Ovis aries: one gene and its partner. The protein of the gene in region 1 interacts with the protein of each later gene in a pairwise test. Links are inferred from orthologs where the notes say so. Each region holds a gene or a part of one and is shown on either strand. Other genes may lie near its edges.

Region 1 (3,489 bases):
TCACAACCATTTCACAGATTAAGGCACTGGGCCTCAGAAACACAATCCTGATTGCCTGACTCTGGACTGGGGACCTCCCATCCATGCAGCTACTCCAAGATCAGGGGCCTGTAGCAAATTGGCTGCCGGCTTTGGTAAAAAGAAAACCATGTTATTTTAAGAGCCCCACTATCCCCAGTTACTTACTGTCAGTAAGAGCAACAAGGGAACAGTTCCAAATGCAAAACACTCAGAATTCATGCTACACCACCTCCCCCTGGTGGAATGCTCTAGAAAGTGTCCTGATGACAAGGAGCCGTTGCAACTGGAAGACAATGAGTTTTCCATCAACATCACCTTCACTTCTTTAAATCATCAAAGCGACATTTTTTTCCATCAAGGAGTCAGGTACTGACAAAAAGAGAGGAAATTAGGACCTGGTGTCAATGAGGCTGAGAGTCTTGGATGATGCTGGGGGTGGTGCCAACTCTCTACCCTGGCCCTTTCCTTTCTTACCAGCCCTTTCTGTGGCTGTTGCTTCTGTCCCTGGTGTTCTTCTGCACCACCTTTCCTGCATCCTCTCTGCCTCTGTCCACTCTCCTGAGTCTTAGGGAAGGGCAAGGTGTGACCATGTACCCTCACCCATGACCCAGCATGAAGCAGCCCCAACATCAGGAATGTCCAGCAGAATCCGCTGAAGAGCCAGTCCTCAGGCGCTGGGCACTGACATTTCCAGTAAGTCAGGACGCAGTACTGACATTTTTTAGACATACAAGAGGGCAGCAATGTCGGTCTTCATCTGTGTCCCCCGAGTCTCCCGATAAACACATGGCCTCTTCATTCTTCCAGGAAGAAGGAAACATTCAACATGACATCTAGAACAGGAAGAGAGAGAACATGCGGCATACCAGCTCTCCAGAAAACACGAAACACCAGATCTGTAAAAGCTAGAGGCACCAGGAGGGGGAACCTCTTCGTGATTCCAAAGAGGCTAGACACACAAAGGAGGGGAGCAGACACGAACGACTGCATGAAAACCAGCACCTCGTACAAGGTCCGGGTGTTCATCTTCTGAGATTCGGTCCCAGGCTCTGGGCAAAGCTTGGATGTTTGCCAAGTCTTCCCATTGGATTGACGACAGGAGGTACTTCCTCTTTAGGTACTTTCCTGGGAGTTAAGGAAGGTGCTCAAAAAGAAAATGAAATGTGCTGAAGGAAGAAAATACCCTGGAGAGCATTCCCAGGAGCTAGAAAAGCAAAAGCACAGCTATCATTACATTTACCAGGTGGGCAGGCTCACCTCCATCCCACTCCAGTACTCTTGCCTGGAGAATCCCATGGGCGGAGGAGCCTGGTGGGCTGCCATCTATGGGGTTGCAGAGTCGGACATGACTGAAGCGACTTAGCAGCAGCAGCAGTAGGCTCACCTCTGCTACAGATCTTTACCGAGCCCCTCTATATACAAGGTTCTGGGCTACAGGGAAGGGATGAAACACTGCCCTGCAAACTGGGATCTCACTGTGGTGAGAAAAAAACACAACAGAAACTGAAAAGACTCTAAATGGGAAGAGATAAAACTCAGTGGAAGTTCACAGGATAAATTCATCCGCCCTAGAGCAGGGGTCCCCAATCTCTGGTACCCGTCTGTGGCCAGACGGGTTAGGAACTGAGCCTCCCAGCAGGAGGTGAGCGGTGGTCCAGAAAGCGAAGATTCACCTGCCACTCCCCACTGCTCGCATTACCATCTGAACCGTCCCTGTGGAAAAGCTGACTTTCACAAAACCAGTCCCCAGCGCCAAGAAGGGTGGAGAACCACTGCTTCAGAGGACAGTAGGAAGATTCCGGCTGGTAGGAAGAGCTTAAACCAAGACAAAGAAGAGGGGAAGCACGGAATGGATTCAGGACAGTACATCTTCCAACGAGATGCAGAATGGAATCGTGTGTAGGGAGCAGGCAAGGCAGCTGAGCAGGCAGGTGGAGGGAGAAGACACAGACCAGTGTGCGGGGTCTCACCCCCGGGACACAAGAAGCTACGGAGAAGCCCTACCCAGTTGGATCAGAACAGGGACTCCTGAAGATAAACCTGTAGTGTGGCCACGACCTCGAGGTAGCTTCTTCCTTCTAAGGAAAGAAGCCAGGGTCAGAGAAACCTGCCTAGAGATGGCATGCGACAAAGGATCCAAGTGAGACTGTGGCACAGGCAGTGGGGATACAGAAGGGATCTCCAAGAAACACCAAGGAAACAGAGCGGAAGGACTGGACAGTGGAGCCAAACACCCTTCCAACAGCACCGGCACACAGGAAGAGCTCATGACGCCTGCCCTGGCTGCTGCCGCCAGCGCAGCCAGCGCCGCTACCGATGCCATCAGCAAACAGTGGGCTCGGGGGCAACCCTCCGGTTTACAGACTACGTGACGCTACAGCTGAAGAAGGGAGCTGATGGGGTGGGGGCTGATCTCCATCCACTTGAGCCTGCAGTTCCATGAGATTCCAGTCAGGAGGCAGCTGCAGGAAACTGAAAATCAAAACTAGAGGCAAGAATAAATGAAGGTAGAAACTCCAGCCAGAGAGTAGACGCGCCTATCGGGCAAGACTAGAGAGAAAAAGGGAGCGGACTCCAGTGAAACGGTCTTTTGGCTTCCACCCAAGTCTTCCCTCAGAACACAGATGGGTGATAACATAGGTCTGATCAGATTACTCCTCTACTGAAAACTTTCTACAGCTTGTGTCTCTCTCAGAATAAAAGCCCAACTCCTTCCAAAGACCTCAGAGGCCCTACCAGCCCTAGCCCTGTCTCCTGACAGCATCACCTGTTAGACCAGGCCCACTTGGCTCGAGCCCTACTGGCTGCCTTGCTATTTCCTGAACGGACCAAGTTCACTGTCACCTCAGGCCCTTTGCACTTGCTGCTCCTTCTACCTGGAACACTCTTCCCCCAAACATCCACACGATTCTTCCCCTCACCCTCTTCACATCTTTTCTTAGAAACCACTTTCAGGGCAGTGAGGCCTGCCCTGACCACCCTATTTAAAACTACAAGCCCACCCTTAACCCTTGCTTTCCCCAATCCCTGCTTTATTTTTCTTCAAGACACTTAACATCATCTGACATTTTATATATTTTCCCCTTTTTAATGTCTAGCTCCTACCACCTAGAATAAAGCCTGGAAGGTGGCATCTGCTCAATAAATGATTTGAGGAATCACTGTACAAAGGGATGCAGGAGGAATGCACGTCCAGGAACCAAAGAGAACTGACTTACACCATGTATTTTTGTGTAATCTGGTGAAAACTGAAATTAACAAGACTTCCTGGAACAGCTCTGTGAAACGTGTGCAAAGGATATGAATTCCGATAATGTCTCTCAATGTCCTGCAACCACTCCAACATTTCAGCCACAGAGGGGCTTGCAGCTGAAGCCTGCAGGACAGCATCGAGGCCGATCGCGTCTGCGTGCTGCTCATAGATCTGAAGCACGCGCTCCACGTGGCTGCTGACCACATCACGCACCT
Region 2 (4,055 bases), on another chromosome or scaffold:
TCATTTAGGAATCTTTGCGACCCCAGGGACTGTACCGTCCATGGAATTCTCCAGGCCAGAATACTGGGGTGGGTAGCCTTTCCCTTCTCCAGCAGATCTTCCCAACCCAGGGATGGAACCCAGGTCTCCAGCTCTGCAGAAGGATTCTTTATCAGCTGAGCCACCAGGGAAGCCCCCCAAAGGCACTTTATTTGACAGTCAAACAGAGAGGCAGGGTCCTGCGGGCAAGCCACTGAGTACGATTATAATAATAAAGGGGCTCCCCTGGTGGCTCAGACAGCAAAGAATCTGCCTAGAATGCAGGAGACCTGGGTTCGATCCCTGGGTCAAGAAGATCCCCTGGAGAAGGGAATAGCAACCCACTCCAGTATTCTTGCCTGGAAAATCCCATGGGCAGAGGTGCCTGGTGGGCTACAGTCCATGAGGTCGTAAAGAGTCAGACAGGACTGAGCGACTTTCTTTTTTTTTCTTCTTTTTCTTTATAATAATAAAAACCGAGTCAAAGAAAATAGCTTCCAACATGGAGTCAGAATTGGTGACTTCCTCCCTGTAATATTTCCACATTAATTATTGTATACTGTGTGCACATTTATATAGGCCATACATACTGTTAAAAAAGAAAACATCTGATGTTTAAAGGCAAAAAACAGAACTCCCCTGGTGGTCCAATGGTTAAGACTTGGCCACTTCAATATCGGGTTCAATCCTGGGTGGGGTTGCTAAAATCCCTTATGACTCAGGGACCAAAAAACCAGAGAAACATAAAAACAGAAGCAACGCTGTAACGAATTCAATAAAGACGTTAGAAATGAAACAAAACAAAACAAAATCCCAGCTAGTCTGCATCTGAACTGGGCCTCTGGGTTACAGTTTATTTAGCTGCATACCTGGGCAAAGTTCAGTGTCTGGCCCGCCAGGATCCTCTGTCTGTGGGATTGTCCAGGCAAGAATACTGGAGTGGGCGGCCATTCCCTTCTCCACGGAATCTTCCCCACTGGGATCGAATCCTGGTCTCCCGCCTTGCAGGCAGACTGTTCGCTGTCTGAGCCCCCAGGGAAGCCCGCAACCTCCCCTGGGTGCTCTGCAACTTAGGGGCAGTGTGGGGCAAACATGGGACTGCTCTTCAGAGCCCTTCACTGTTTACAAGTCAGCCCAGGTGCCAAAGCTGCACTCTGCCTTCCACTCTGCCTTCCTCTGCAGTCTTTTCCAGTCATGCTCCGTGTGCTTTTTAAAAAACAGCACCAAAATGCAGTTTATCAGAAAACTAATCGCTTAGCTCAACATAAACCTGCGAGATGTATCTCCCCGGGTGAAGACCCAGGGAGGGTAGGAAAAAAAGTGCTCAGAGCTGCAGGTGTGCAAGGCCTGGGCCCTGCTGGGCCTTCCTGCAGGTGGAGGCACGGGAAGGCATTTGCACAAGCATAGTAACAGCCTTTCTGTTTTTCCACCCCAATCTCCCGGGGGTGGCCAGGGTGGTCAGGGGCGTTACCCACAGGCTGCCGGGTTGGGGGGGAGGGCGGTGTGGGCTATGCCAACACCCTTGAAAACCCAGTTGGACTTAAGAATCTCTGTCTCCTCTTACCCCAGATAATAAAGAGAGTCATTACAAGGTAACGGGACACCGCGCTTCCCAGAGAATACTTTGTTTCCAAAAGTAGCTGTTTTTCTCCTAAAAAAATTGACATGTCATTTACGGCACACAGACCCTAGAGTTATTTTGACACTCTGCAAGTCAAGAACAGACAGAAACACCGGTTTCCTCGATCGAAGTCCTGAGAACACCGAGGTGACCAGACAGACGGAGACTCCCTCCCAGATTGGTGGGGAAGGGAGGTGGGGGGGGGGTCCCTAATATGCGTGAAGACGCGAATGGGTCCCCGCACCGCCAAGATTGGGCCCCGAGGCTCCGCGCAGGTGGCGCAGGCCAGAGAAACCGGCGGCCACTAAACTGAAGCTCCCCTCTCCAGGGCTCCTAGACCCCCTAGAAGCCGCCTCCAGCCCCTTGGCGCGCCCCCCAACACCGCCCCAGCCCCCCAGTCCCTGCAAACCCGGGCAGGCCCCGTCCTACTGGAGCCCGCGCGGGGCCGGGATCTCGCCCCCCCGCCCCCGCCTCCCTCCGGGATGCGGGTCTGCAGAGCGCAGGGACCCCGGGGTGGGGTGGGGGGGCTCCCGCCGTGGTTGGGGCGCGCACGGATCCCCTGGAGAGACCCCAGCCCCCGGGGCGCTGGGGAGGGCGCGCCTTCCCCCAAGCCGACCCCCGCAGGCCGCCCGGCCCGGCTTCCGGGAGCGCCCGACGCGGCGCGCACGAACCTGCGACCCCCGGGCCAGGGCGCGCGGGACCCCCTGGCTACCCCGGCCCCCGGGGCGCGCGCGGAGCGGGCGGGGCGGCGGGGAGGGCGCGCCTCCTCCCCCCGCCGGGCCGCCCGGGCCTGCTTCCGGGAGCGCCCGACGCGCCCGCCTCCCCGCGCCCCTTCCCAGCTCCGCCCCGAACCTGGGGGTCCTCTGCACGGGCGGAGGGCGCGCCCCGGGCCCGGCGACGCGGGCCCCCGCCAGCCCCCTGCCGCAGCCCCGCCCGCGCCGCGCGGCCCCGGCCCCTCGCCGCCGCTCCCCGGCCGCTGACCTGGCTCCACGAAGCCCCGCACGCAGCGACGCAGCAGCTGCGCCACGACCAGCGCCGCGCCCACCGCGTACACCCGCAGGGCCGCCCGCGCCGCGGACAAAGGCGACATGGCTGCCCCGCCGCCGCCGCCGCCGCCGCCGCCGCCGCCGCCGCTTCCGCGCCGCCGGCCGGACTCGGAGCCCCGGGCCCGACGGCGGAAACGCGCCCGCGCCGGCCCGCCCCGCGCCGCGCCCACGCCCCGCCCCGCGCGCGCGCGCCCCCGACTCCCGCCCCGCGCGCGCCCCCGCCTCCCGCCCCGCGCGCGCCCGCGCCCCCGCGCGCCCCCGACTCCCGCCCTTCGCGCGGCCCCGCCCTGCGCGCACCCCCGACTCCCGCCCCGAGCGCGCCCCCGCCCTGCGCGCACCCCCGACTCCCGCCCCGAGCGTGCCCACGCCCCCGCGCGCCCCCGACTCCCGCCCCGCGCGCGCCCCCGACTCCCGCCCCGCGCGCGCCCCCGCCCTGCGCGCACCCCCGACTCCCGCCCCGAGCGTGCCCACGCCCCCGCGCGCCCCCGACTCCCGCGCCCCCGCTCCCCGCGCGTCCCCGACCCTCCCGAGCGCGCCCCCGCCCTGCGCGCGCGCCCGACTCCCGCCCCGAGCGCGCCCACGCCCGCGCGCGCCCCCGCCCCGCGCGCGCCCCCGACTCCCGCCCCGAGCGCGCCCACGCCCCCCCCCGCGCGCCCCGGACTCCCGCCCCGAGCGCATCCCCGCCCTGCGCGCGCCCCCGACTCCCGCCCCGAGCGCGCCCACGCCCCCACGCGTCCCCGACTCTCCAGAGCGCGCCCCCGCCCTGCGCACGCCCACGGCCCGCCCCCCCGCGCGCGCCCACGCTCCCCGCCCTGAGCGCGCCCCCGACTCCCCAGCGCGCCCCCGCCCCTGCTCGCGCCCTGAGTCCCGCGCGCGCCCCGACTCCAGCCCCGCGCGCGCGCCCCCGGCTCTCCCGTGCTCCCCAGCCCCTCCTGCACGCGCCCCCGTCTCGCGCGCGCGCCCCCGACTCCCACCCCCCCTGCCGAGTGCGCCCGCGCCCCAGCCTCGCCTGCCCGCGCCCCCGACTCCCGCCCCCCGCGCGCCCCCGCCCCGCGCGCAACCCCGACTCCCGCCCCGAGCAAGCCCCCGCCCCCACGCGTCCCCGACTCCCCAGAGCGCGCCCCCAACTCCCGCCCCGAGCGCGCCCCCGCTCCACTGCGCACGCCCCTGATTCCCACCTCGCGCGCGTCCCGGACTCTCCACGCGCGCCCCCGACTCCCGCCCGGCGCGCGCCCCCGCCCCGCGCGCGCCCCCGCCCTGCGCGCGCCCCCGACTCCCGCCCCGAGCGCGCCCCCGACTCCCGCCCCGAGCGCATCCCCGCCCTGCGCGCGCCCCCAACTCCCGCCCCGAGCGCGCCCACGCCCCCACGC

Evidence for each region.
Region 2: the proteins of AIRIM (region 1) and E3 SUMO-protein ligase ZBED1 interact in binary tests that used the Homo sapiens proteins (3 or more experiments, as listed by UniProt). The two-hybrid records come from large-scale screens. The link is inferred for Ovis aries from reciprocal best matches to the Homo sapiens genes AIRIM and ZBED1.

The regions. Positions count from the first base shown.
Region 1 is NC_056054.1:12,495,848-12,499,336, forward strand, and holds part of AIRIM (AFG2-interacting ribosome maturation factor), read right to left. Parts: coding exon 3,324-3,489; intron 1,143-3,323; coding exon 971-1,142; 3' UTR 855-970; coding exon of another isoform or gene 817-854; 3' UTR 1-816. UniProt on the Homo sapiens protein: Part of the 55LCC heterohexameric ATPase complex which is chromatin-associated and promotes replisome proteostasis to maintain replication fork progression and genome stability.
Region 2 is NC_056080.1:6,131,552-6,135,606, reverse strand, and holds the start of E3 SUMO-protein ligase ZBED1, read right to left. Parts: upstream 2,813-4,055; 5' UTR 2,730-2,812; coding exon of another isoform or gene 2,621-2,729; intron 1,968-2,620; exon of another isoform or gene 888-1,967; intron 1-887. Other genes in the region: dehydrogenase/reductase SDR family member on chromosome X, read right to left, coding at 2,621-2,729.